Linked DNA regions of Lepisosteus oculatus. The protein of the gene in region 1 purifies or fractionates together with the protein of each later gene. This does not show direct contact. Links are inferred from orthologs where the notes say so. Each region holds a gene or a part of one and is shown on either strand. Other genes may lie near its edges. The genes, in order: tyrosine-protein phosphatase non-receptor type 14, wwc1, pdlim7 and stxbp4.

Evidence for each region.
Region 2: the proteins of tyrosine-protein phosphatase non-receptor type 14 (region 1) and wwc1 purify together in Homo sapiens (affinity purification with mass spectrometry; 7 studies listed by BioGRID and IntAct, counting the BioPlex papers as one, with this or other methods). This does not show direct contact. The link is inferred for Lepisosteus oculatus from reciprocal best matches to the Homo sapiens genes PTPN14 and WWC1.
Region 3: the proteins of tyrosine-protein phosphatase non-receptor type 14 (region 1) and pdlim7 purify together in Homo sapiens (affinity purification with mass spectrometry; 3 studies listed by BioGRID and IntAct, counting the BioPlex papers as one, with this or other methods). This does not show direct contact. The link is inferred for Lepisosteus oculatus from reciprocal best matches to the Homo sapiens genes PTPN14 and PDLIM7.
Region 4: the proteins of tyrosine-protein phosphatase non-receptor type 14 (region 1) and stxbp4 purify together in Homo sapiens (affinity purification with mass spectrometry; 3 studies listed by BioGRID and IntAct, counting the BioPlex papers as one, with this or other methods). This does not show direct contact. The link is inferred for Lepisosteus oculatus from reciprocal best matches to the Homo sapiens genes PTPN14 and STXBP4.

Annotation. Positions count from the first base shown.
Region 1 is NC_090697.1:21,522,778-21,529,728, reverse strand, and holds the start of tyrosine-protein phosphatase non-receptor type 14, read right to left. Parts: upstream 3,019-6,951; 5' UTR 2,522-3,018; intron 1-2,521. UniProt on the Homo sapiens protein: Protein tyrosine phosphatase which may play a role in the regulation of lymphangiogenesis, cell-cell adhesion, cell-matrix adhesion, cell migration, cell growth and also regulates TGF-beta gene expression, thereby modulating epithelial-mesenchymal transition.
Region 2 is NC_090706.1:40,160,357-40,167,299, forward strand, and holds the start of wwc1 (protein KIBRA), read left to right. Parts: upstream 1-3,938; 5' UTR 3,939-4,985; coding exon 4,986-5,104; intron 5,105-5,202; exon of another isoform or gene 5,203-5,221; intron 5,222-6,943. Other genes in the region: arl10 (ADP-ribosylation factor-like 10), read right to left, coding at 629-766. UniProt on the Homo sapiens protein: Regulator of the Hippo signaling pathway, also known as the Salvador-Warts-Hippo (SWH) pathway.
Region 3 is NC_090706.1:37,404,939-37,411,924, reverse strand, and holds the start of pdlim7 (PDZ and LIM domain protein 7), read right to left. Parts: upstream 3,008-6,986; 5' UTR 2,904-3,007; coding exon 2,874-2,903; intron 1-2,873. UniProt on the Homo sapiens protein: May function as a scaffold on which the coordinated assembly of proteins can occur. May play a role as an adapter that, via its PDZ domain, localizes LIM-binding proteins to actin filaments of both skeletal muscle and nonmuscle tissues.
Region 4 is NC_090704.1:38,283,945-38,291,702, reverse strand, and holds the start of stxbp4 (syntaxin-binding protein 4), read right to left. Parts: upstream 3,001-7,758; 5' UTR 2,752-3,000; intron 1-2,751. Other genes in the region: cox11 (cytochrome c oxidase assembly protein COX11, mitochondrial), read left to right, coding at 5,413-5,751, 7,216-7,371. UniProt on the Homo sapiens protein: Plays a role in the translocation of transport vesicles from the cytoplasm to the plasma membrane. Inhibits the translocation of SLC2A4 from intracellular vesicles to the plasma membrane by STX4A binding and preventing the interaction between STX4A and VAMP2.

The DNA.
Region 1 (6,951 bases):
TCAGCATGGAATAAACCTACAATATTACTTGTTCCTTTGCAGCCTACGCATGCTGACGCAGCTACCCACCTGAACTATAAGTCAAAGGAGGTATTACACATAAAGACTGACCTCAGTAATTTTTCTGGTCAATTCTGGTCACCTTTTCTCTTTAAGATGACATTTACCAGGTTAAAGCTTGCACCGATTTATTTTAAATAATAAATGACAATGCAAATATTTAATCCAAATGGGAAATAGTTCGGCATGTATTTCAGTCCATAATGAAATATCCCATCAAAACATAATCATTGTAGAATTTAAAACTGTCCAAAAAAACATAGTGCAACAAAAAAAGGAAAAAGAAACAGGAGACTAAGGAAAAAATACTTAAGACTCAAGGCCAACACCTGAAGCTCATACAACAGGATGTACAAAAGAAGGAGAAGCAGCATGTTAAACTCATTCATCAAACTGTAATTCTGCAGACTGATGCAAGGTATGTTACATGGCAAAGCTCTATAAAGGAACAATAACTTGAGGCCTTAAACAGAGTAAATGACTTAAAATGATCAACACAAAATTCACATTGATTTACCTAGCTTATCTCACTTGCCTAATAAAATCTAAGTGAGATAAATCTTTTGATCACACAAGCCTAAATTAAAGATTTTCAGTATAACAGAACGCAATAAGAAGAAAGAGAGATGACAAGGTGAATCTTTTATGTCTGGCTGAACAATGAAACAAAACTGAAACACACAGTCGGGCAGACTACAATTTCAGATCGTAAAGAACAAATAGATTTTAAAATGTATGATATTGACTTCACCCAACCTAGATCACAGTCAAAGCAGTCGAGAACTACACAGGCTGAGAGATGGACATGGGCAAGCGAAATGTTGGAAACAGGGGGGCCCCTTTAAATGTTCTTCAGTCAATGCTGCCATTTCAAACATCAAAAGCATTTGAGAAGCAGAGTGCTGGCGGTTGAAAAAAGGAAAGGATGGACATGTAAATAAAACAACCCATTATAATTAAATTGTCAGAGTATTTTATAATCAGGGATTGGTTCTCTGTCCAGGAATACCAGATTGGTTAGCAAATCACTTTTTTTCTCTGCAGGAAAAGTCCAGACCTTTGGCATAGTAGTGAAAACAGGTAAGTTTAGGAAGCATAAATATTTTTTACTAAGTTGTTACACAAACATTTTAACCGTTTTCCAACTAGGCACACTTGGTTTCTGCTATTCACTAAAGATATATCAGAAACATTCAAATAACTAGTAGAAGTGAAGATTCAGCCCAACCCTGAAAACTACATCTCAAAGTTTCTTTGGGGTATGGTTTTGTTTCTGCTGTGATATTTTGCCTTCTCCTAAAGTTTCAGAACTTATTCTGCATAACTCTATAATGTTATTAACACAATGAACTTCAGGTACGTTTGTGACATATGCAACTGCTGCAAGCAGTACAGAGAATCAAAAAACACAAGCTATCCTCTTCATAACCTTTGACGTCACACTACCTTGTGACTAACAGAACCAGACAACAGTACAGGTACCTTCTATTTGAAATTGTATTTAATTAACTGATTTAGGTTCAACTGACTATTGTGTCTTAAACGTAAGTATTATTTGGTTGACGCTTTGGGGAATATTATTGGAGCAATCTGAGCGAAATGCTTTGCTCAAGGGTACAACAGCATCCCACCTGGTATCTGAACCCACAAACATCAAGTATAGAACCCAAAACGCTATTTCACACCGCTCATTAAACTTATTTTGCCTAGATTTAAAATGTTAATTTCCTTTGATTACGGTATGCAGCCTTAAAGGAAACGATTCAAACATCTAAACCAAGAAAAACTTGGAAGATGTTATTAGGTGCTTTAAAATGCTGCTTTATAGAATGGTTTGACGTTAAATCTTATCTCATCTTTAAAGTATAGTTAACTTGCATAAAGTAACAGCCGTTAGCAACTGCTAACAGTAGGCTACAAACTGCAGTCTAGGTATTCTGCAAGGAGAGGGAATATAACTAACAATTACCATTTTTCCGTCTAACGCCAATGAAAGGTTTGGGACGGTGTTTTTTTAATACAACACGTGTAATGAGGCTAAGCTTTGAATTTATAAAAATGTTCTGCCTTAGGTATTAAGGGAAATGGTTTATTACACGTTACTCCTCGTGTAAGGAAGCACAGGTCGTATTTTCCTTGGTATTTTGTTAAAAAAAGGCCCTATAATGTCGACGCTATAAAAATAGAAACAGAGAAAACTGTTCGTAAGATGCAACGTTTTCAATATTTTCTATTCAACGTTGTTACTTTTTCTGGCGATATGCTATGGAAAACGCGATAAACTACGAAACATTGTTTTAACGTGTTGGGCTTTTCCCTTGAAAATTAAGCAGTAGCAAAAACCGGAAAATCTTAATTGAGTGTACTCGTTCTTCGCCGAGGAAAAAAAAGTGTTCTGCAGTTAGATGTTTATTAGAAAGTAACAAAAGACCAAAAAATAAAAACAATAACAAATACCCACCGGGACTCGTTACATGCCTTCTTTGTATGTTTCCCTTAAGCAGGAATCCCACTATATCCTGTATATCCAAATCTTGAAGTTTGAAACTGGTTCCACAATCCCAAAAAAGATTCCTTTACTGTGCATAGATCCTTCTTTCCGAAAAATAAAGAAAAGTCGTTTTAAAACTTTTAAATGTGGATAATTTTCCACACCAAGACTCAATACGTTCTTTCTAGCCTTCAAATCTACTTTTACTCCAAGGTTAAAAATCCAAAGTTTTCTTTCCGTACCAAAAAATAATAATAATAAAACGCGCGTATGCCTAAAACTCGCCCAGTAATCCGCAGTTTGCGATCTCCTTCCCCGTGAATCTGAAAATTAGAATATGATAATTTTAAACCACGAAATCACCCAAGAGACGCGAGAAGCGTATAGGTTTAGATAGAAGTGTGAGCCGTCCCTTCTGACATCAGAATTGTGGAATCCCAGGAATGTGGTGCAAACGAAAAAGTGGGAGCTCTCTTAATGGTTTACGAGGGAGACAATACAATGCAAAGAACAATCTACAGGGCCAGATCCGAGATTCTTCAAAAGCGATTTTTCTACGCGAGCGCCTGAAGCAAAAAGTCATCTCTATTTAAGTTGTTAAGAGTGTTACATAGGTATCAAGCTTTTTTCTCAATATTTTCCCACTTTATTAGGCTACCTATAGCAGTAGCACTTACACTCCAACAAAAACCGGAGCTTTTATGCACCACTGCGTCGGGCTAAACGAAATTTAGACTAGGAGACTAATGTGGCGTTTCAATTATGTTGTTAAATTCGAACTTTTCAGTATTAGGAAATAATATTCCTATCACATTTTTATATTATTTTCTTATAACCAGTTTATTATCACTGCCAAATTCACAAGCTCCTCTCTTGGCTTCTAAGGTATTTTACTAGCTTTTCGTTGTGTATCTGAATCAATTTCTTCTTGAAACTTAAAAGGATTATTACTGCATAGCCAGCCCATATTGCTAAAGTAATGTTGAATATTTCAGCATGAATGATGGAGTATTGCTGATTACCCTCAAAGCTTTACAAGTGCCAAACCTACGTCAAATTTCAAATGTTTCAAAATGAATTTTACTGAGGCTCCTTTCCAGTACCTGTTTGCGACAATCAACAGTATCTTGTACCTCTGATGTACTCTGTAAAGCTTTAACAGTATGTGTCTTGGCTTGTCCAGCCATTAAGTACTACGACAGCTTGCTCCTACAACTGATGACTGGGGCCTTTTGTTGTTGTTTTTTTTGCAAAGCCAAAGATTGAATGAAGAAACAGTTCTGAACCTGTAACACTGCATAAAAAATAAGGCAGTTTTTACACTATAATTTTGTTAGGCCTTCGAGTGGAGCACAAGAAAGCACAAGCTTTCCATACTATGTAAAAAATCCAGGCATGAGAAAAACATCAGAGATGAATGGCTGAGTATAGCCCAAAGAAATCTGACTTTGGACTGGGACTGGGACTTTTTCAGGTTACAGAGCTCCCCCACAGCTGAAAAGTTGAACAGTATATCTTCATTTTCTTTACTTTTCAGCCTTGAATTAACCTCTATTTTTTTCCATAACAATATTAATACAATGTTATTAAATGAGTGTTTTTTGAGGAGCTCAAATAAACAACAGGATATATATATATACGCTGTTAGGCACACACTGTAGATGGATTTCAGTTTGGAGTGTCTAAAATATTACTTGTGTTTTTGCTTTTTTCATAGCAGCTTAGGATTCATAACAACATAACGGGCCCACAGTAGCTCAGCCCTGTTCAACTCCATCTGATGAGTTTTCTAATTCTTTTGACCCATGTGTCTGTTTTAAGGCCTTCACCAGTTTACCAACAACCCAGTTGATTTAAAATGCAAAAACAGACAACTGATATAAGTGAAGCAAAATAACCCATTAAGGTACCATTCTCAATCCTAAGCACAACAAAATCATTCTCGTGACTGTGAATGGACATAAGAAAACTGATGTGACGTGACCCCTGTAGCATATTGCCGGGTTTTGCCGGGTCCCCTGTTATTCCAAAAATCGCCTACCCATTATTGTAAGTGATATATGATTGTGATTGTTTTGTAAAGAATCCCAGTGTATTTCCCAATTCGAAATTGCCAGCCAAAGCAGGACACGTTTTTTAAATTTTATTTTGTGCAGTACTCAAGTTGCACTTTCTACACTGGTTTTATTGTCCTTTCCTTTAATAAAATTGAATTGAACTCGGTCTTTTTTGTAACTTGTATCTACTCCTTTTGTACATGCACATAGGTTGAAAAAACAAGTCACCCTGGATATAATAATAGTACTTATACTAATAATAATACTACTAGTAATAATAAAAAACTGTCCAGAAGCCTCTTTAACAATTTAAACTGGCAGTATAAAGTCAGTCTTGCATTCCAGAAGCTGGAATCCTAGCTTAGTCTTCCTATTAATTAGGAGGAAGAACAGTTTCAGCACACAAAGTCTTCAGTAATTCTGTAGCTGTCAGGAATTTATTGAATACTAACTAATCAAATCTTGATTGCAGTGGTATAACCAAGGCACAAACAGGCACATACAGTATTATCTGCAACCAGGACCTGCAGGGCGCAGTCAAACAATTCAAGCAGCAAAAGGTTATGAATGTTATACCTTATTATACAATAAACAATTTGCAAGAAGTTCAAAACTTGTTGAATTTAACTATTAGTGATTATAAGATTATGTTTTTAAAGTTTCAGGCTGCTATACAGTACATGAACGAACACTAAAGGCTCCATTCATTTTTCCATTTAAACGGAACACCTTAGAGATGTGAAACTAAGATGATGAAATGTACATTATTTTTTTCTTTGTGCAATTTGTACAAGAGTCTGCTACTTTTAAAACTCAAAACTAAAACTATTTCTAGCCAATGGCATTATTCACATCCATTGTACACTACTAGCAACTGTTTCATTAAAAACCCTAAGATGTGTGGGGTCAAAGTAACGCATAGGGGTTAAGAAGCATAAAATATTTCTAGAAATCAATCATAGACACCTCTCACTGTCATAGCTACCACAGAAGACCACCTGGAGGTCCGGTGATTGAATTTACTTCTATAGGACAGGATAGGTTGGCATTATGTGTTGGACTTGAGGTTTTGTTTATCAATTGACAAAACAGAGTCCTTAGGTGTCTAGAGTCACTAAAATCAGCTTATGTACTCAACTTGTATAGGCCTGATCAAATATATATTTATTTGGTCAGTTTTGTTGTTTGTTTATTGTTTAGTGGTCAGATAAAAAGACGTATTTATATGTTGTAAATAATCTTGGATAAACACAGGATTTCAAAACGTCTCAACTTTGAGGGATAACTGGCCTTAATCTTTGATGGCTGTTCATTGTTCTAGTCTTTAGAAACAATTTTATGCTTTTATGTAGATAGGCCTTTGAGGTATTTGATGTTTAATTTTAAAAGTGAGTCCCTTCACTTTTAAATGCAGCATTTCCCTTATAATTTGCTTTCAACTTTTTCTGAGATTTGTTTAGGCAAAAGAAAACGTTGTAAAATGTCGCAAAGATAGCTGAACCCCGCCATCTTGTGGTCTTCTTAAGATATATCTATGCGCAAGTTATGTAATGGCCCGGTTCATTTTATTTCAATGTTTCTCCTAATATGGACGAACAATATTCACGCTTCAGACAGTAGTGTCATAAAATTTGAAAATGCAATTAGTGTTTAATATGAAGAAATTCATACATACAACACAATTCAGTTATTTTTTGTAATCCATGGTTTCGTTGTATTCGTCTTCAGTCAAATATCCATTATGTGGTGCAAGAAGCTTTAACACTACCGTATGTTTTCGTTTATGACTTCGCTCACAAAGGAAACGTTATTTCCAAGTTCAATACAAAAGCCGTGTACCCCCAATACTTTTAATTTATTCTATATTTTCTTTATCTCTCTATTACAGAATGTGAATTATTTTCAAATACAGCGTTAGAAATAGCGTTCAGGAGCTGTCGAGAAATAATTCTTCTCATAGAATCTATACTCCAACAACAAAGACAGTATAAACAGAGATGAGAACCTTTGGGTTTGTGGCCAGTGATCACAAACGTTATCAACAGCTCTTTATTTAATATCCAGAGTGAACTTCTAAAGTATTGTCTTTAGTTTCAGGGAAGCTGACTGAAAGAATAAGGGTGTTTGAGACCCGTATTAGCTGCATTTTTAAGAGCCTTCGAGCAGCCCTCTCTGGCAAAATCTATTTAGTGCAGTGGGTAATGTTTTGGTAACGAACAAATGTATAAGGAAAATGAGAGTTGGGGCCCTAGGAGGAGTGGAGAACATCACCGGGCTGGAAATACTGTAAACACAGGTATATTGTATACGCACTCATGTGTGCGTGTGTAGGTCCTTTACTTA
Region 2 (6,943 bases), on another chromosome or scaffold:
CACGCAAACCCCTTTCCAGCCGTGCTGTCTTTGCAGAGGGCAGAGAGCAGACCCGTGTCCTGCCCATCGCCTGACCAGGACACATCGTTTCCTTTTCCCTTCTCCGGTCTTTTCCTGGCAGCCTGCTTGTGACCAGCGCCGAAATCAGGAAGTGAATTCCCTTAGTGGCGTCTTAAGAAGTAAAACCTTTGCACCACGCGAGAGCAATGCACACACACGCACGCACGCAAGCGTGCAGAAGAGCAATAAACGGGGCGTCCTGGGTCGAGGACAAAACAAGGCTTTCGCACAAGCGAGACATTTAGGGATCTGGTTTGAACAACGCGCCTTAAAACGACACCAATGTGTACCCCAATGTGTTTTGCTACCCCACGTCTGTGCACGCACCTGCCTCTCTCTGGTGACAGCACATGCACCAGCTGGCTGTCGCGGCAGAACAGACGGGAGATCACAACTGAAACGACACGTCACGACGTTATCTAGATCCTTTACAAAACGAACGCTTAGGGCTACGAGTTCGCCCAAGCAGCCGGGCGGGCGGGGACCTGCAGACCCCAGACCCCAGCAGATCCACGGGGGGTAGGAAGAGGACGGGATGCGACGCCTTTTCCCTTTTCGCAAGGCTCACCTCTGGGATCCTGTAGTAGTCCATCTCCGGGGACCAGACGCGCCTGCGGTAGAAATAGTTCCAGGCGATGAACAGCGCGGAGCCCAGAGCCGCCACCGCGGCCGTCAGGGCGATGGAGATGCGCCTGAGCAGCACCATGTCTCCGCGGCGCGACGCGCGGCATGAGCCGACAGGCCAGCAGGCTGGGTGACCGGGTTTTAAAAAAAAAAGAGAGAGAAAGAAGAAAAATCAGCACATCAGCCGAGACACGTGACCGAGATAAAAAAACTGCTCGCCCAGCACACGCCCGTCCTATCGCCGCTCAGAGGCGAGCGACACACGCTGACGACACTTGGAAGGGAGTGACCTGCCTGCAAACTGGCTGAAGTTTCGCACAGGAATAAAAATAATAAAAAAAAACTTGTTAGTCCAGCGTGGTCCTCCTGAATCCAGAGTGAGTGTAGCGCATCTTAAGGACCTACCCTCTTATTAACCGGTGGTTTCGGATCTCCTGGGTTCGGGTATCTTAGGGTTTCAGGTTTGCCGCATGAATGAATGTTAGACACTTGAATGCGAGTCTCTTCCTAATTTTGAGTTCTCCCTCCCAGCGTTTCACTGTGCAAAGGCAGTGCTTCAGGAAATACTCGCAGACATACGACGTTTTGCGTTTCGGTAACTAGCAAGGCAAAATCGTGGGCTATTTTTAATTTTTAGCTTAAGGGTGAAGAACTATTTCTGAAACGATTTGTTTTAGTTTTTTTTTATTTAATTGAGGACGGCTGCCAGACGGTTAAAGCTGAAACAAGTCCTCTCACATCGGCCGGCCGGCCAGTCCGGTCTGAGATCTCAGCCGAGGACCTTCAACGCTGGCGCGACCTTTTCTCCAGGCGACGTTGGTGTGGAAAAACGTGTTGGGAGTCGACCATCTCTACACCCTGACCAAGACTCTACAGACTCTTTGGTTGCAAATAATTCCAACACTAAACACCAGCGCGCCGGCACCAGGCATATATCAATACTGCTCAATAATTTATCGATGTCACTTATTTCCCCTGCACATTAGCGAACAGGGGGGCAGCAGAGAAGACACACAGTGGTCAGTGCAATCGCTTTATATAACCTGTTATTGGGTGTTACTAACTAGGGCGAAGCAAAGGGGAATCAAGCAGCCGATCACACCAAGAGACAACAATATCGTTTTCTACGAACTCGTTCCGTTCTGCCGTTCTGTACACCTTTATAAGACCATATAAAAACCGCTCACCGCATCCCTGCAACGACGAGTCGCTATGACTTCGGGGCCAATTTCGGAAAAAAGGCGAATTTCTATTAAAAGGACGGATGTTCATAGGTACAGTAATTGGAATTATTCTTCATTATCATCATTACTATAACGAATGAAATCTTTCGAGTCCCCCCCAAGGCAAAGATTGCTTTCAGGAAGTAGGTACAGCCGATAGATGGTGCTGTTTAATTATTATTAATTAACCTGATTAACGCTTTCGCTGTGAGAGGTTTACACTGACACCAGTTAAACGGATGGGATGGACTTGAACAAGCAGGTCACAGCTCCTTACTTCAAAGGATTTGAACCCACGACCTTGCATGCCGAACATCTTTCTTTGAGGAGCCTCTGCGCAATACAGCCACCTGAGAGCTCGCATTAACAGCTGAGCGCAATACAGCTGTGGTGACATGGTAAAGCCTCACAATGCAAATATTTGTCATGTATTCATGCTCCGTTATTGTGGGAATCTTAAATCGTTTTCTAAACGAGTGCTGCGTTACCCTGTGTCCGGAAAAAAAAGTACCCATTCTGTCAATCCATTTTCAATAACCGCTTACTCCAATAGGTCACTCATTCATTAGATCTAGTAAATGCTGTCCAGGACAGGGCTGTGGTTACTCATTAATAAAGTGTGGTAAAAGTTCTATGTTAAACAACTCTTATGTGTCAGTTATTATTCGGCTGTCTTTACTGAACTCCTGGCAAATACAACTGGAGCGTGGGCGTCAGGTCCTATATTGTAAACCAGCAGATTCACAGTTAGAGCACAGCTACCGCATATCCATTGACAGACACGGATAGTTCCACCACAGCAACAGATGTCTGAGAAAATCCACAAATGAAAAAAAAAACGAATCAATTTCTCTTCCGACAAAATCAATACGATGTGTGTGCTGATTTCAAGAAACCCGTGTTTTTGTTAATGTATCGTTAAGAAGTCGTTGTTTTTATAATAGGTTATCGCTGTACTGTTCAGATGAAATTAAAATGTAACCAACATCGACGTTTGAACACGAAGTGTTTTGGGAATTGAGCTTTTTAAAGGTTGATAAGTGTTTGTGGCAACAAAGTTACTTTGTATTTTGTGATCCGCAGGTGTGTACATATTTATTCACCATGCAATATTGTAACTTCGGGCGTATTGATGTCAGCGCATGAATTTCGCAATGGGTCGCAAATTGTAGACACGCAGCTGAAGGAGGCGCAGCGACATTGCGCTTCTGCTTTCTGCTGTTCAGTCTGAAACTAACCTCTCCTCTTCCTCTTTTGCACCCCTCTCACGGTCACAGATCTGTACATACGCTCCGCGGTTTATTCGTTGATGCGAATTTCAGCTCAAACATTACTTTCACATTCGGACGCGAGGCCTAGTGATCGGGTCTGCGCGATGTTATGGTATCAGGTGCCGGACAGGGCGCTGTAGTTGTTGTTGTTGTGTCCTCTAGCTAGACATTTCGCCCAATTATCCCCATTTTGCACGTACAATATATACGTCTAGAAGTAAATCACTTTGCATAAAAGTGTAATCAGATTAAATGGGGAAAAAAAAACACTTATGCCAACTACACATTATTTCTCAAATTCCCTTCCTTGGACTGTTTGAGATGACACGATTACACGCCCTTAAAGGGACCACGGAAAGTCACGATTAAGCGACGACCGTCGATTTCGTGGCATTATTAATTTTTCAGCAGAGAGTTCTTCGGACGGTTGGACTAACACCTTAAGCTTTTCGTCGGTATACCCGTTTGCACCCTGATTATATTCCAGGTTTAATCATCGCCGCGTCTGCAGAACAGAGAGATTATAAAGGCGTTATAAACAATAAGATGCCAATGGGCTCACAAACATTTTACAATAATGAGACATTTTTCCATGCTTTATTATTACCTCACCAAAAAAAAAAAGGGTCCCGATGATCGGCATCCCCAGCAGCTGTTATAGCGTACCCTTATCTTTCCATGATTACGGCGCACATTGCAAGCTACATCTATTAGTGTTATTACGGTAATCACCTGGATGACGTAACCCTACCCGCAGCATCACGACAGTGAGAACCAGTACACAGGGAGGCAGGGACACTGTCCCTTTAAGAAAAACATTTCCCCCCCCCCCCGTGTGCGTGTGTATTTTTTAAAAACAGAAATCAACAATAAAGCTAACTGACGAAAGCGCGTTGTCGGCGAAAGAGTGGAGCTGTTGGACGAGGCACAGACGGGCAGGAAAGCCGGGCGATGCCCATCTGGAAAGCGCTCTGAATTTGCGGCGTGGAGAGGAGGAGGAGGAGGAGGAATATGGTGGCCACGGCAAACTAAAGGCAGGTTTTGGACAACATCGAAGCCAAGCCGCGGAAGGTCGCACCGGGCAGCGATGGAGTGGCGGCGAGCGCCGGGGGACTGGGAGCTGCGCTGGGGGACTGGGAGCTGCAACTGGCGGCTGTGCCGTGACCAGTGAGCCCTCCGGCGGGGGAGGCTGTTGTCCGCGCCGGGATAGCCGAGGCGCATGGAGTAAAACGTGGGTCCCGCACCGAGGGGAGAGTGCCGTCGGACGAAATACTCCCGGCCGAGGCGATGCTGGATAATCCGCCCGACAAAGTTTTGAATTGTTGACGGGAATCGGGAGCGGAGGAAGACCCCCCCCTCGTCCCCCGCCTCTCCCACCCACCCGAACCCCCGCCGTGTTGGGGGGCACAAGATAATCATCTGGATTTTTTTTCCTTTCTCCCCTGCTGTTGGGTTAGCTGTCGCTTTTTTTTCGTTATTTTCTACCTGCGTTTGGAGAACTCATAGCGGGGGGGAAGGGGGGAGAGATCGTTCGTGAAATTAACGAAAAGAAAGGAAAAGGCGCATCAATACGAATTATTACTTGCTGGAACCCTAACTTTTTTTTTAAAAAGTGTTGACAGGTCGCTTGCTTCACCTGTTCCATCGGGAGGGGGGCCGTTCACATTGCTGTCTGGACCGTGTGCTGTGTCGATTCCTCTCAGGTGTACCTTTTAACGGCATCTTGTTTTTTACACACACACGCAAAAAAAAAAAAACCCACAAAAAAAAGGCATCCAGAACAAAATTACATGGAGACTCGCCTGACATGCCGAGGAAGGAGTTACCATTGCCGCAGGGTTGGGAAGAAGCCCGGGATTTTGACGGGAGGGTTTATTACATCGACCACATCAATAAAACGACGAGCTGGATCGACCCCAGAGACAGGTAGAGATCGGGCAGGAGGGGGGGATCCACAGCACCTGCGTGTAAGGAAACCCGGGAGACAAAGTTTCCTTTCTTCTGCCTGTGCGCGGCTACATTACCTGCTACTCATAAGCCGCCGCTCCGCTTAGAAAGTTCAGTGGCTTTGGCGCCGGGGATCCTGCGCTAGCCGCCTCACGGCGAGGGAAAAGGATTTGGGATTTTAGAGGGCTAGCTAGGGTTCCCGACGTTCAAATCCGTCTGTGGGTCTCCCCTTGTCTATACCCACCCCTTTCTGCTTTCTCCTCTCTCTGGTGATTTTATACCTGACCCGCCGCACGCCAGTTTTTATTATTTTTATTATTTATGTTCTCAAGAGCAGATCAAGTGTTTCATGAAACGCAGATAACGCTCGTATGCAAAAAAAAAAGTTGCAGAAAAAGCTCGGTACTGAACCGTCGAGTCGTTTCTCCCTGACGAACGAGGCAGAGTTCCGAGAGTCACGGCGAGGATGACTCGGACGTGCAGTATCGTCTTTCTCGTTTGTAGAAACGTGAGCATTGGAAAGCAGGTGCAGTCGGGGCGGAAAAAAAAAGTCCTTGCTTTCCATCCTAGAGTGAAAATGAGGATGGCACGGCGCTATTGCATTAGTGGAGGGGAGTTTGAAACGTAAAGTCATGTTTTAAAATGATTAAAATCCTAACGTTGGCTCCAGTATCAGGACAAGCAATTAAGGGAATTATAGAAGCTTTGAATGAGCAAATGCTTTCGAGTGGGGATGATTTAAGGTGACTTTGTTATCGTTTAATCCAAAGGTTTGCCATTAGCTCTGTGGTAGATATGTTCCAAAATTTTAAAAAAATGCCGATCATTTGTAAAGAAGTCACGAATAACAGACATTTTGTCATTTGGAGTATTTTGGAGGGGCCTTCATGAGCTGAACTAATGAAATCAATTGATGAAGCGGACGATATAATCAACTTTATATTGTTTTTTTTAATTTAAAAAGCCAAATAATTCAAAGTTAATGAACTGATGTTTACGGTCCCGACTTGACATTTTCTAGAATGTATTGTGCTCCAGAAAGCCTGGCAAGAGACGTGCTGAAAGTTAGAACTTCATCTCATGAGACACACTGTAAGATAATTATTTTAGCTCTAGTTGGTGGTTTATTTCGGTCTCGTCCACAACCGTTGTTTTCTGTTTTATGATTGTTGCCCTGCACGAGGGGTGGCGCATCCGGGTCCTCGGGCCCCGGCACCTCGAGAGCTACACGTCACGTATTACCTGCCAGGTCTGAAAATAAAAAACATACTTTAGTGCTGTGTTTTTGTAGCAAGTAAACGTAAGATAAGTTTTAAAAATACAAAGGGACAACTAAAAGCACATGGGATGTATTCAGTTTGAAACATTGTCTTTAACAACAACAACACAATATTTTAAATCCGTAATTCTTCTAAGATTACTAACACATTCCAGGTTTCACTGGCGTACTACAAGATCCCCCACAGAAGTGGTCTGAATTAACACCTTAATCCAAAGAGGTGCGCTTGTGCTTTTATTGCTACTCAAGCCACGTTTGAAATTCTGAGAGTGCCGGACGCCGATGCGAGGCTGGGTTTTATTGCCCGGTGGAATGCAAGAGGTCAGCCTGGTCTCTAGGATACGGGAAGGGCAGAAGCGTAAACACGCACCCAGAGCCGCATTCCTAGAATGCATTTCACAGAGAAGGGGGGGCGGACGGAAGACAGGGTTGCGCTGAGCTGAAATTAAGTGCTTAGGTACATAGCCATTAACCGCCATTACCAGACACTCCCCATGAGCAGAGCTGAAGCGCAGGACGTACTAGTGGGCCAGGTCCTG
Region 3 (6,986 bases), on another chromosome or scaffold:
CTGGTTTTCTTACCTGGCTGATTGTGTTCTGAAGCTGAACCCAGAATGTGCTTACAAAGTTTTCTTACAGGTCCCAGACAATCTCCGACTAAGTATTTAGGAAATTAATATATAAATTGATTTCATTAGCATGTGCCTCCTTAAAACAGCTCCTATTATCCCTACAAATTCAACTGATATACAGCCGAACGTTCAAGAGGTTGTGCTTGAGATTTGCAACGTTCCTTGAAAAACTAGGACTGCTCTCTGACCCCGTTTTCTTCAATTACTTGATCCTGCAAAATGTACATATAAATTTGCATTTGAAACTTCACACAGATGTGATACTACACAAGAAAAAGACTCAAGTTAGCCTTTGTGTCGATCCTGATCTTCATTAGAATACGTTGGCAAAGCCCAAATCAGCAGACTGCAGCAAGTTCAATTCACAGGGGACAGGAGTTAGCATTGACGTACAGTAGAATACTTTCAAAAAGCAGACAAGCCACAAAGTTCTGGATATAACGAGCCCTTTTAGAATATCATACAAACATCCCCATATTTAAGGAATTACGGTAGTCTGATCAAATAAAGGCGAGTTTCAATATTTCAGCATCAGACGGGTAGAACAAGGGTCTTAACTGATCAATGTTATGCAGATGGAAGAACAATACCCTGCAACATTCCTAGCATGAGTGTCAAATAACACAGTCCAATGTACACAATTCCTTTCAAATATAAATGGCTAATTCAACAGTAGTATATATATATATCACATGGCAAAACCCTCTTTCAACAAAGGCTTCATAAAGGTCAGACAAAAAAAAAAAAGACATCCAAAGGATTTAGCACAATTACATCTTATATTTTTATAAGCAGTAAGCCGTTATATGAAAAGCAATTTTCGTCTTCTCACTACAGAATGGTGCAACTAATGCCAAGAGTACCACCAGCTGAACACCAACATGCACACACACCCACAACACAGTACATGGTCCAGATCAAAAACTCATTGGAACTGCCCTCTACACGAGAGAAATTCTGTAGCTGAGCCTTAAAACCTACAATACTCACCGCAACTCCAGCTGACTTTTCTGACACACTTCTGCAGTCACTATGCTAGTGTGTTAAACCATGAAAACCTTTCCTCATATGTGTCAAACTCAGAAAACTGTGAGCGAGGGTAGGTCAGGAGAGTGAAGGTTTGTAAAATACACTATTGGCATGTAGCATGGTAGTGTTTCTTGACCATGTTACAGAGATCTGATTAGCTGTCGGGCTCAGGGAAACGCATTGATTTTCACTTAACCTCAGTAATGTAGAACCAAAAATGTGAGAAGAGCTTTGACCACTGAGGACAAGGCATTCAGCGATGTTTACGAGGTAGAAGGGACCTCCCATATATCCAAGAATAAATTCTACATTCCTACATTTTTAGGATATAATAAAAAAAAACCTCTGGTCTGAAAATTACAAATGAAAACTGTACAGGCAGCTGTATGGAGTAGAGGTTGATGCTCTGTGTTTACAGCAATATAATGTATATGGATTTCAAGGCTAGGTGAGGCACTACTGTACTTATAAAGTAAACATCAGCAAAGTACACCCCTCAAATTACACCAGTAAAATACCTCACTGTATAAATGGGTACGTTAAAAAACTGTGAGGCGGATAAATGACCAAAATCAGGTTAGCATACCTGCATATACCAAGATCTATTTCAGAACAGAATGCCATTCACAGAATTCGCAATATCTTTCCAAGATAAAGCATTACACAAAATAACGCTGATCTATACAATACAGAAAGAGATTCTCTTTTCAGAGGGCACTAACGCTAAAAAAACACCTGCCCTGTCCTAAGGTGATAATGCAATTCCAAGTTCGTTAGTGAAGTTTTACATTGCTCGGTTCGGACAACAATGAAAGTGTTGTCACGTTTCATATATTGAATCTGTAGGACTTTAGATCTTTATTTTTGATCGACGTCACCATAAAAACACTAATGCACTTTTTTTGGTAGGGGGGTGACAATTATATACAGTACCATCTATTCCTTTTCATACATCTTAACCACAGCAATATAGATACTAAACAAAACCACATCACTTACAGCCCCCCCCAAAAAAAGACATTAACAAATAATATCGGTGACCTGACGAGTGTTTGATCATTTCAGGTTAAATGTTGACCCAAGCAAATAGCTAAGCAATTCTTGAAACGATAGAGGAGATCTCGATTAATACATAACGTTTGCTTGCTGGCATGCAATCAGAAATTGACACTTTTCTTGTCACATTAAAACTATTTGAATAATATTCAAAATGATATCAGTGCGTTTATTTTGGGACAATGTGTGCACCAACTTAAAAAAAACGCAGCATAACTTAACATCCACGAACATGAAATATCCGCTCTTTTAGCACTTGAAAAAAATGCTAAGTGCACGATCTTGATTCGCCTTTACACGAACGGATTCACAGCCAGCTTACAAAAGGAAACTCTCAAGAAGCTTTCGTGATCACAAATCTCGACCCACCCAAATTATCCACGCAGCGTTGCTCAGACTTGCAAAGATCGCGTTTGATTACTTAGGTCTAAACGCAAAAAAACCGCAGATAACGTCCTTATGAAAACACATCTCGTCTGTGCAGAAGGATTCAATCTCTGAGCACCCTGCCCTATAAAATTTAAAAGAACAATTTACAAAAAGTTGAATTAGGAAAAGAGTGGACCACTCCCTCTTCTCCGCCTCCAAACGCCAACGCCAAACAAAACTTCCATTAAAAAACTTTTACTGTATAGATATTACCAGAGCCATGTAAACGTTTTTTATGAGAACAGAACACAAATATTGTGTAACTCGCAAAAGCAATCGTGTTATATGGCAGTTACCTCCGGAGCCTCTTTCTGGCTGGCGGACATCGTTAACGATCTTTTTTTTTTATCTTTGCACTTTAAAAAAGTTAATTACTATGTGCTAAGTTTTCCTTGTAAGCCAGTCCAACTGTATCCACGAGCAGCCGTAAACTTGCCTTCTGTTTCCTTTTATAGACAAGGAAAAACCTACAGCCCGGGTGACGTCATTGGGAGCGCTGCCACGAATTCTCCGCGCTCCATCTACAGGTACAAGCTGGCATGGGACTGCGATGCGCTGCGCGGTGCTGCGCTCTCCCATCTCGCCGCTCAACACACACGTCTGACCTGCAGCCAGCTCGTCTTTACAACTAAGCACCTAGATCGTTTTGCTCGACGAATCCCAGCTGCGGAATAAAAGTGGTGTATAATTTGCAGCGCTCGACTTTTCCATGACCCCCCATGCTAATCATCGACTTGAGAGTGCTGGTTTTATGATGTCCCTGAACCCAGCTGAAATGTCATGTTGGCATTTTATTTTAGCTTTCGGGATCCCAGTTGATTTCTGTAGTGTTAGCAAATGTTTGTTTTGGGTTTTTTGCTAACAATACAGAACGTTTTTACATTTACAATTTACAGTAAATTTAAAATTCTTTGAATGTCTTCAAACCCAAACCACGTTGACCCACGTTTATTCTGTACGAACCCGAATGCTCTTGTTTACTTTTCTCTTTTACTTTTTATTGTGCTTTTCTTTATCACTATGTACAGCACCCTGGGGTTTGGAAAGGCGCTATATAAATAAATGATGTATTACTGTTAGTCTTGATCTTCCATCATTTCTGTATAATAACATGACACCCTAACCAATTCAACTCCACTGCTGTTTGGCAAGAGCAGCGTTGACCACAATACTTCAGTCACTGCAATACAAAAGACAATACGGTGCTCTGGAATCAGTCCAGAAAAGAGCAACCACGCACATTCCTGTGGTTCAGGGAACTGTCCCTCCCTGACAGGCTGAAGGAACTGAATCTTCTTAGTCTTGAACAGAGAAGAAGGAACAATGTGATTCACAAATTTTGAGCCCCCAAAGACCACGACAAAGCCAACCCAACAGACGTCTTCAGAAGCAAGAGGGGAGTATTTGAATATAAGGACACCGGTAGGAATTATTGGAAAGTTCATGTCACTGAAGCCGACGAAGACCCTGGCTTATTTCACAAAGCAGTCGGATGTGATCCTCCAACCAGCAGCCAAGCAAGTTAGACTGGTTGAATGGCCGCCTTTCTTTTCCTTTGTTATGTTCTTGTGATACAATACCAGTGTGCGCAGGGAGAAGCTAGTTACAGTATGAATCCACAACCTTAATCACTATCCTCTGCCACTAGTTCATTATGTAACTTCTTTTAAAGGTGCTTATGTATTTTATGCATACAGAATCATTCCTATAAAAATTCCGAAGCGTGCTTTTTTTAGATACAGCTTTCCTCATCACTTGCCAGAAAGCCCTCCCAGGTAACAAACATTTGTCAGTTATCCGACAGTGAACAGAAGACTACTTTGGGTGAAATGCAGCTCTATGTTTTCTTTTGCTGCCTTGAGTTAAACTCCAGTGAAGTCTGTTTTTTTTTTGTTCTTAAAAAATGTACCTAGAAAATAAAATTGAGCATCCATTTTTTGCCAGATTATTTCCTCCTCATGTTCATCAACTAAAATACCTAATATTATCAGAGTTCAAATCAATCTATAGTGTACTGTATTTACTAACACCACTGCCTCTTTGATATAAAATAAATTAATGAGCTGTTTGCTACAACAAAACATCAAACACATTTCAGCTTCACTAATGAAAAAGCAACAGAAACAATCAGATTCTTCCTTGGGCCAAAAACATGTTAAAATCTGGAACGAATCGGTTCCGAACGAACGAACCGCAGAAAATAAAACCCAAGAAAAATCAAGTCACACTTTGGAATTCCCAGATTTATTTCAAATCAAGATTTTGAAATGTTTCTTTGAACCAGGAATTGCTTGATCTTTGTTTATGTGCTGAACACAGGTCTTTGATCTGAAGAATGCTTTATCAGACAGGAAAACTATTCAATACAGGTCTAGCGGAGTTCTTTTTCTGTGCGCTAGAAAGTGCCCATATAAGGAGATCACAGATCTAAAAAGCTGCAGGAATGAATCTACCTAATTATCACTAACCTGAAGCATGGAACAAGCCGGCTCTCTGAAAAGGAAATGTTTATGTAGATTTAAGCATGGCTGCCAAGAAAAGACAAACAATGTAGAATTTAAAAAAAATCTCAGGAATCACTACACTATATAGTTCTCCACTTGGTGCGTCCAAAGGAACAATTGTTATTCCATGCTAGAAACGTAGTGTTGTAGGAAAACTGTTTGCATAATTCTTAATATTTAGGGCAGCATTGTGGCATAGTGTTTGTTATTGCTGGCTTTTCACACTAGAGTCCTGTGTTCAATTCCAGACCTGGGGTGCTATCTGTGTGGAGTTTGTATGTTCCCCCTCCGGGTGCTGCAGTCTTCTCCCACAATCCAAACACATACTGGTAGATTCATTGACTTCTGGGAAATTTAGCCATAGGTGTGATTCCGCACTGCCTTTTGCCTTTGCACTGAAACTGAAAATGCTGCCACAGCTGAATTTTGCACACAGCTGCTATCTAAACGCTGGTTGAAATTATTGCTGCTGTGCTGTTGCTTTCTCCAAGAATTGTGACGTCATCCTTTTTGTCAATTTTGGGGATAAATGGTAACATCCTTTGATGCCTTTCATGGAAGCAAGTACAAATCCTGGTTATGGACAATTACTGTTCTTTATGACCCAGTGGAGGTATGCTGCATAAAAAAACAACAGTGTCGTGAACAACAGAGCTAAGTGCTCCAGGCTCAGGTCTAGGGACCAAAGCACTCTGTGAGAGACCTGAACATTTCCGAGCTCCTTAGAAGGCACTCCAACAGATCCAGCTGTAGGGTGCAGTCAATTCTTCCATCCCTGGTTAACTATAGGGTCCCAATGCCCTCCTGCACACCCACGATCAAGATGATGAGAGTAGACGAGAGAGCTGTTAGCTTGATGCGCTTTACAGAAGCGACTTAACCTGCGAATGATAGGTTTAAATAAACAGGGCTCCGAGTAACCTATGCAACTGAACTGCATTCTAGATTATAGCGGCTGCCGTGCAACAAAAATTAACCATTGTTCAACTTTCTACTTTTTTTAGAATCAAAACATTAAAATGTGCAGCAACGGAGAGGATTCCCAGTGTTCTGAAAAAATTATAACGAATGGCATCTTTATTTTGTATAAGTTGTATTCAATTAGTTTCAACAATCTTCACCCCAAGCTAGTTCCTGTAGGTATAGGGCAATAAACTGTTCAAAAAGAAAACCGATCATTTCAACTGGGAGTACACTTGAACTTAAGGTCGTTCACTATTTCTGAATTCTAAATGCACTCACAATTTGAAACGCAGTGTTGTTGAATTTTTAGCATCTTATATAAAACCCATTCTAACATGTTAAATCAATAGAGACAAAAATTCAGCGGTTTCATCATGGCCAATAGACAAATCAAACCTTGGCTTCGCTGTTTGACATGACTAGAGACATCTAGAACATCTGCTTATTGTTTCCTATTCATAGCTCAGCGGGTACCTTTAGGATACGGTATTTTATTTCTGTAACAGCGGGCTAAACATAAGACATATCTCGTGTATGCCTTCATGTACTTGTTAAAAGAAAGAAATGAAAAGTATTTAATGTAGATTTATGTACATGACTATTTTCAGAACAACTTAATTCAGTACAAAAACGCCCAGAGGCTCTGGGCTCTATATGACTGTAACAAAATCAAGATCAATAGTTTGCGGAACTTCATTTTTTTGTACATTTTGTATTGTGCTGTCTCCATCTCCTGGCTACCGGGAGTAATGCAGAAGAGGAGATCACTTTACCATCGCCAGAACTAAAAACATCGGGTGTTTGAAAGAATGTCACCCTTAGATTATTTCCGTGTATTGGAATATTACTTTCTGTATTCGATACAAAATATACAAAATTAATCTCCAGCCCCTCCAGTTATTGAAGTTAAAAGAGGAGGCGTGAGATGGTGTTGTTCTGAAT
Region 4 (7,758 bases), on another chromosome or scaffold:
AACAAAATACTTAAACTACAATATCCATTAACCCAATTGGCAAAAGAACTTGAAACTATACTGTAGAAATTATTAATTGAAGAGAGGAACTGAACTATGAGAATTGGAGACCACTACACATGGAGGATGAGTGAGTCAGGATGTGATGAGGTTTTTTATCAGGGCGAGGGCTGGCAGGGCCTTAGTGTTGAACCATGGAGTTACCATGGTTACTCATACAGGCAGAAAGGATTGAGTTTGGAACCATGTACTGGAGGGGAAGAAAAAGTGAGCCCTCTCCCTGAAAAGAGAGTCTAGACATGCAAGGTATAATAGAGTTCTCAGTTTTGTGTGTCTTTCTTTTTTTGGTGTCATCACAGCGAAATGATTAGAGACCCACCAGGTGGACAGTAGAGGAAAAATGACTGAGAGCAGCAGAGAACTGCTTTACCAACACTATGCAGGGCAGGTGGTGGAGATGAAAACACACATTCATAGACAGTCACTAGGAGCACTAGAACCAGTACAGCCAATGTCCAAGGCTACATCCTTCATCAGAGCCACCCAGGGAGAGTGTGCCACCTTGAATGGTAGTTAGTGAGCAATTGTCCATGTCAGTCATTGTAAACACTGGCCAGATTGGTGAATAAGTGAATATCACATATATCCTGAGAGTCACAAAAGGCATGCAGTTCCAGCTGATAATAGCTCCACTGTTTTCCTAATCTCTCTGGGAGGTCTGCCTAACTGATGTTTGGCACAGTGCTACAGTATACACCATGGGGTGGACCTAGGCTCTGGGAGACCATGAAGGAGGGAACAACAAGGGATGGCCAGTCTTCAGATTATAGCAACCTTGCAGGAGCAACTAGACTATGTGCACTGGTTTACTTAGAAGCACTTGACTCCTGTAAGCATAAGGCAGATTATGACCTACATTCCAGAGCCAACAACTTTGGCCTAGTAAAGTCTGTGTGGATGTTCTGTCCCCTTGGGTAAGAAGGACCGTCTTCCAATACATGTACAATACTGGATCAATTCTCAAAGGTAGTCTGAGAACTGAGATCAGATAAGATCTATGGCGGCAGACTTAGTAGTAGCAGGCTCCAGCTATTAATACTATGGGTACCTATTAGTAATTGCTGGTTCAATATCTGAGGTATAATTGGGCCAAAGCTTATCTTGGTTTCTGTAGCTCTAAGCTGAGGAAAGAGCACAAGACTTTGCTGCCTGGACAGTCTACCAGTCCAATCACAGGGATCAACCCTCCCAGCAATGCTAGTCCTTGTTTATATAGCAGTGTGAACTGAGGCAAAGTACCATTCTCAAGGTACACTAGCAGATCAACAGTGGAATACTTTTGTCTGCCAGGCTCTACACCTAGGGAAATGGTTGATCCAATTAAGATTTAACCAAAGCACCCATTTATCCCTTCTCAACAGTCTTAAGCTACTGATGATTTAAAGCGACGTGGAAAACCTGCTGGATTCCATATGCCACGGCATAATGGTATAAATTATAGAGACATCCACTTTTTCAGGGAGTCTTTACTTTATTCGTGTATGGGGTACATAATGTAACAGACCTCTTCTTGTGTCTTCATTCCTCAGAGCCCACGTTAGGGCTGGTCAGTTACTCAATTATTTCCAAATAAGTTACTTTATAAGATACACAAACCCATACACAGAAAGGTGTGTTTATTTGTTGCCTATTATATTTCTTATATGTGACTTTGTCCTTGTTCGATACGCATACACAAACGTAGCGGGCGGAAATACGAAAACATATTGCATACCTTCCATATCTGGAAACTGGTGCTTTTTGTTCATAACATATAAGACATCTTGTTCCTGTACTGAGCTCCTTAACACGCTTTTCTGCACAGCCGTGCAGGACTGCGGTTTAGCAACAAGTTCATACATTGATAACATTTTGAACAGAAAAATAAGTCTGGAAACTATTCATCAATAAAAATAACTGTTTTGAGCAATACTCAATATGAATTATAAAAACTAAAATATTAAAGTCTGTTTATTACAACAAATTAATTGTGCACATAAGGGAAAATCAGATCATCCAATTTCAAGTGTATCCAGTAATTACGAGCAAATTCAACACCCTTAGTCATCTAAAAAGGCAGTTAATGTTAACTTGCAATATTTTGTAATAACTTCTCTTCATTTAAGCTACACAACTTAACACCTAATTTTAACATCTGTAGCGATCTTTACAAAAGTGATAAAATAGGTTCGATTACGTTTCTACAGTGTGGGCAATTATGCGCACGGTATAACTGATGTACATCCTTTAATATAATTAAAGTTGTTCTCGTAGCAGAATAGTTGTTTTATGTAAAGTAAATCAAACTACTGTTTAAACTACTACGTTCGTTTCGAGAAAAAGGACGAAACAACGATACTCATTAAATTCCTCCGAATACTCCGACAATTGTGCATTTAACAGTACTTTGAATTCAATTCAGATGCGCGATGGACAAAACCCGCAGCGTTTTTCTAGATATCCAAAAGATAAATGTGAGCTCACTTTTCAGCACTGACTACAAACAATAGTAACGGTGTTACTAACGTCTCAGATGTTACTGTTTGATACGGTCTGTTCAACAAGTTTTCAAGCTGTCCATGAATTTTAAAATACAGTAGCAATGCTGGCAACTTAGAGTTTGCAAAGAAAACACAATTGAGCTACCTTTAGTCAACCTTTCCGTTATTTTGAAATGACTTGCTATATATGCATGATAAAATAAATTCTTACCTTTTTGGTTTAATAAGTAGCGCTTTCGACTAATTTACCCATACTGCCTAGCGCTTAACATCAAACTACAAAAGCGTGTGCGCCTCGATAAATTGCTTTTGTTGTTGGTCATTATTGAAAGTTAAATTCATGTAGATAATAACTGTATTTTGCGAGCTATTTTATTATTGAGCTCCTTTATATGATAATGATTTAGATACACGTCTTCATAAAAGCTATATTTGGGGCATCTAGTATTATATGAAACTATTTCTTTACGTTTCCATTCACATTAAAAGTTTGAACAAGGTCAATCCCTATGTTAGGAGTTTCGGAACCATAGTTCCCCAGTTTTGGTGCCAGGAGGAATAGTTAAACGTGTAGGACCGTAAACCCTGTACACTGTTGAATAACCTATCTTTGTTATATTATGATATTTAGGTACATCTTGTATCTCAGGTTAGTATTTGGTTTATGCAATTTAACATTTTTGAAAACTGGGGATGTTTCCATTACGCTGAGTTTTGTGGATAAAAATATGGATTACAATTTATTGCATTGTCTGGATTGTCATTTTAACGATTGATTTGACCCTGAGAGCTTAACTAAGCTGTTAGTTTTTTACTTAGGTGTCTAATCAGGAAAATGTGGCATTAATGGTGGTTTGAATTAAATGTTGGCTTTCGTGGCTTTACAATCGGAGGTAAGGCCCCGTAATGCTGTCAATTTCATCAGGAGTATTGTTACCTGGTTTGGCCGTTTCTGTTTCTGGGACATACGAGTTACTTGACCTATTAAAAAAAGAAACGAATTGTTCTCATTTGTTTGTGAACTGAATCTTTGAATTAACGTCGAAGGAAAGAAAATGGAAGAATCGATTGGTTTACGTTATTGATTGAAAACCAAGGATTCTCTTTAATAGAAATACATGTTTTTTACAATGTATTTTTGCTCCAGGGGTGATTCGTATCAGCCTGATCACTAATCTAGTTGCATTTTAACGGAATTAACTCGTTTTTTGTTGTCGCATTCGGTATGAAAAGCTATTACTGTAGTTTTAGAATGCACTTCATGTGCAGTTTGTGGACATTGTAAAAGTGGACAAAATGTACAGTCCATTGAAATTTAAAAAGAGCAACAGTCCTAACACGCATTGCAGAAAGAAACCATATTTATAGAGAGTATCGAAAAAGGGGTAATGAAAGAACTTGTTTTAATTAAGCTTTTTAAAAAGAGTTCAGTATGAACTGAGTAGGAAAATCAGCTCAGGAATGAAGAGTGCTGAAGCAAACGGTCTAATCTTCTTAGATCAGATGGCATAATAAGGAAACATCTAATGTGATACTTTTTATTAAAAATAGAAAGGCTGAATATTTGGGGACAGTTCTAACCTGTTTGAAAGGTAGCAACTATCTTTTGATATTCATATGGATTGCAAGAAAAGTTCTGTTAAAAGGCTTGGCCTTTGCTGTATATAGGTTAGCACCCCAATTAAACTTATTTTCAATCCTGCAAGAGGCACCATATGGTAAATGTCTTAGCAAACAGGAACACAACTTTATTTAGATCTAAATAAGGTCACCATGTTTGTGTGGGTCATTAAGCTGGTCATCTACTATGGGCTTTCTAATCTTTTAATAGGGTGTTCTTGATGACCGAATGACTGGTGTTTTAGCTTGATTCATCCCTCCAACTGTATAACAGAGACCATTTGTGAGACCATTAGTAATATTATGCTGTATGCCTTTATTATGTTACGAAAATGTTTCATGCTGACTTACCTTTCTTTCATAAACCCTTAAAGGAGAGTAGGACTCAACGAACCATATAAAATGGATAATTTTGGAAGTTTATAAGTTCTCCAAATGTAATTTTATAAACCTCAAAAACTTAGTACTTACAGTCAGAACCTGTAATGAATAAAATCAGTTTTCAGAATCTCTACTTGACTGTAGGCAAAGTTTCCTGTTCATGTCTTGTTTTAATATGAATGGGTCAGTTCCATTACTAGTGCTATTGGATCACCTGTTGCTGTGTTTACCTTTTCTAACAGTTACATGATCTTTGCTATTAATATATCAATTAATCTAGCTTCCATATACCTCCTTTGAAGCATCTTAGTTCACTAGTCTTGCCGATTCTAATGTTGTATCCTATTTTGCTGTATTCCCCACCTTCAGTCATGTCAGGTACAGGTGTGTGAGTTATCTCGTTTGCAGATAAAATTACAATAAAGCATTCTGTTTTTGCAGGGAGGGTGGCTCCTAGTATTTTGACCACCCACTGTGTATGGCAGTGGAACAATGTGTTAAGACTCTTTGAGGGAAACTATACAAAATGTAAAGCTTTGGTTTTATGATATGATGCCCAGCAAAATCTCTAGCAGTTAAATTTAACCAAATTTAACTAAATTTAACAGCTCGGCTATCTTATTTGCACATTTTGGTTCACTGAAAGGATATGACTGCCTGTTGTAAAATATGCACTTGCTATGACAACAGCACTGATAGGTGGCCATGTAGTTGATTTTGTTACTTTAATTTTCGACTTGGATTCGGAAGTAAGAAAAAAAAACTGGAGATGTTTGCTGTATTGGCTCTCCTTATTGATTTTTGTTTTGTAGGTAGGCAATCTGGGACCAAGGGCTGCTCGAGAGAGATAGCAGCGTACAAACCTCTCAACATGCTTGTGCACCTTCTCTTCCGCAAGTCCTTCTGCTGGTCAGAGAACTTGGCAGCTTTAACGTCAAAGTGTCGCCTTTATCACAAAACCTTTCAGAATCAGGTGGCTTCAAGGTGTCAGCATGGCTCTCCAAACCACACCCCTTCTCAGAAAACAGGCCTCCAGCACTCTGGAACCCAGGTTCGAGGAATGAAGGCCCATAGAAATCCGTTTACCAAGGACCAGCAGGAAGAATGGAGGAAAAGAAACAAGACCATCCTGACTTACATTGTAGCAGCTGGAGTGGGCATGATTGGCATGTCTTATGCTGCAGTTCCTCTCTACAGACTGTACTGCCAGGCAAGCAGAGAACATTGTGCAGTTTGAGTCATGCATCTGCACTATGCAATGTGATGTCTATTTTTAGATCTTTCCATCGTAAGCCTCTTGTGTTTATCATTCCTCTGATTTTTGTTCCTAAAGGACTTTATGGAATTGTTGGCTCTAAAAATGTTTATTGCTGCACATACAGTAAACTGTAGTATTCCCCTTTGTAGCGTAAGGATTTATAGGATGAGAGTTATACCAAAGGATATCTGATCCAACTTGAGACCATGCAGCATGTAGACATTCTTAGATTATGACAGGCTTGAAAGTCTTGGTATAGGATACAAATTGTTGCAATAATGGTTCATAAGAGATTGTGTATTAATTACTTTGTTCCACTAACATATTATCTTATGGTCATGGTTCTCTTTTGATTATGATGGAGAGGCAAATTACCTGCTGATAGCATTAAAGGCACTTGCCAGAAAAGACCCCTAAAGTTGAATGTACAACATCGTCATACCAATTTTGGGCGTCTTATTAGTTGTGTAAATTGAATTTACAATAGTAAGCTGATGTTCTGTCATGAAATTAGTTTAATAAGCTATTTGGTCAATATAAGTCATGTCTAAATAACAGCATTTTCTGCACAACAGACAATGTGCCATATTGAACAAAAAAAAATATGGGAAATTGAAGATCATAGACCTGTGCACTTGGATAAATTCAAACGAATAGGCTATATCATGGGTACACAAGACCTGTTCATGATGATTTTAAGGTCTAGGCTTTCTTTCCTCCTTGTCTCTTACTGACCTAATTTAGCTGCTATTTTATTGTAATTGGACCAATTTTACACTTTTCAAAGGACTTCAGTTATGGATGATTTGAAGAAACCTAGAAAATATGCAGGATTAATGTTTTTAAGAACTGCAGCTGGGTACTTTTGAGCTGCAGTCTAATTGCATACAATTTGGCTCCTATAATCTTTATAAACCTTGTAAATGATTTCTGTGCCGTTACACAAACCATTGTAAAAAATAAGTTTAAATCAGGTCTGTTAATCCTGGTCTTGACTGTATCTGCAAGGTTTCTAGGTATCTTCAAAGCAGTAGCACCTGCAGAGCTGGGTAGGACTGCTCAATTAGTTACCAGTAACTGTCTGATTTAGCTTATTAAGACCTCAGTTGGATTGAAAGCCTGCAGCCTAACTGGACCTCCAAGACCAATATTTCACTACACTTTGATGAATCAAAGATGTATTTAACTGTTTACAACAGGTGTATTTATAAATATCTATGCAAATATGAGCTATATTCATCTTGATCATCTAAAAATTTGTATACCGCAATATTTCTGAAGGAACAATTACTTAAATCATTTTAACGAAATGCTTGAGTCAGTCACATCTCCCTCCTTTCTCAACATTCCTTTCAAAGCATACAGGGGAAATGAGGTTGTATTGATCATGTGAGTGAGTGCAAACCTTTTTTGCAGGCTTCAGGTCTTGGAGGGACAGCAGTGGCAGGTCATGATACAGAACACGTTGCCACAATGAAGCCTGTAAGAGAGAGGGTCATCAAAGTCACTTTCAATGCAGATGTGCACGCCAGCTTGCAGTGGAACTTCCGCCCTCAACAAACAGAGATCTATGTAAGAATTAGACCTGGTCGGTGTAGTAGAAGAAGCAAACTCTTGTCTATGGGAGGAGAAACTGACAGTTTAAAGGGGAACTGCAACACTATTTTTATGTTTTGGGGTTTGAGAGAATCAGCATTGATGAGTGTATTTCATACCAAAAATGCGGACATTAACTTGTAAAACCTCCACTTTACATCACAAAAAAGACAATTTCCAAGTATGTGCAGTGCCATGTTGTGCGATTCAGAACGAGACGTGTAAACCTCTGGTGACGTGTTGTGGCCCTATTACATTGTAAACAAGCAGCCTTGTGAATATATCTCTTTTAGTCCAATACAAATATTGCCCTTGACTTTGAGACAGTTTACCGATAAATGGAATTTACTTGTTAACTCTGCA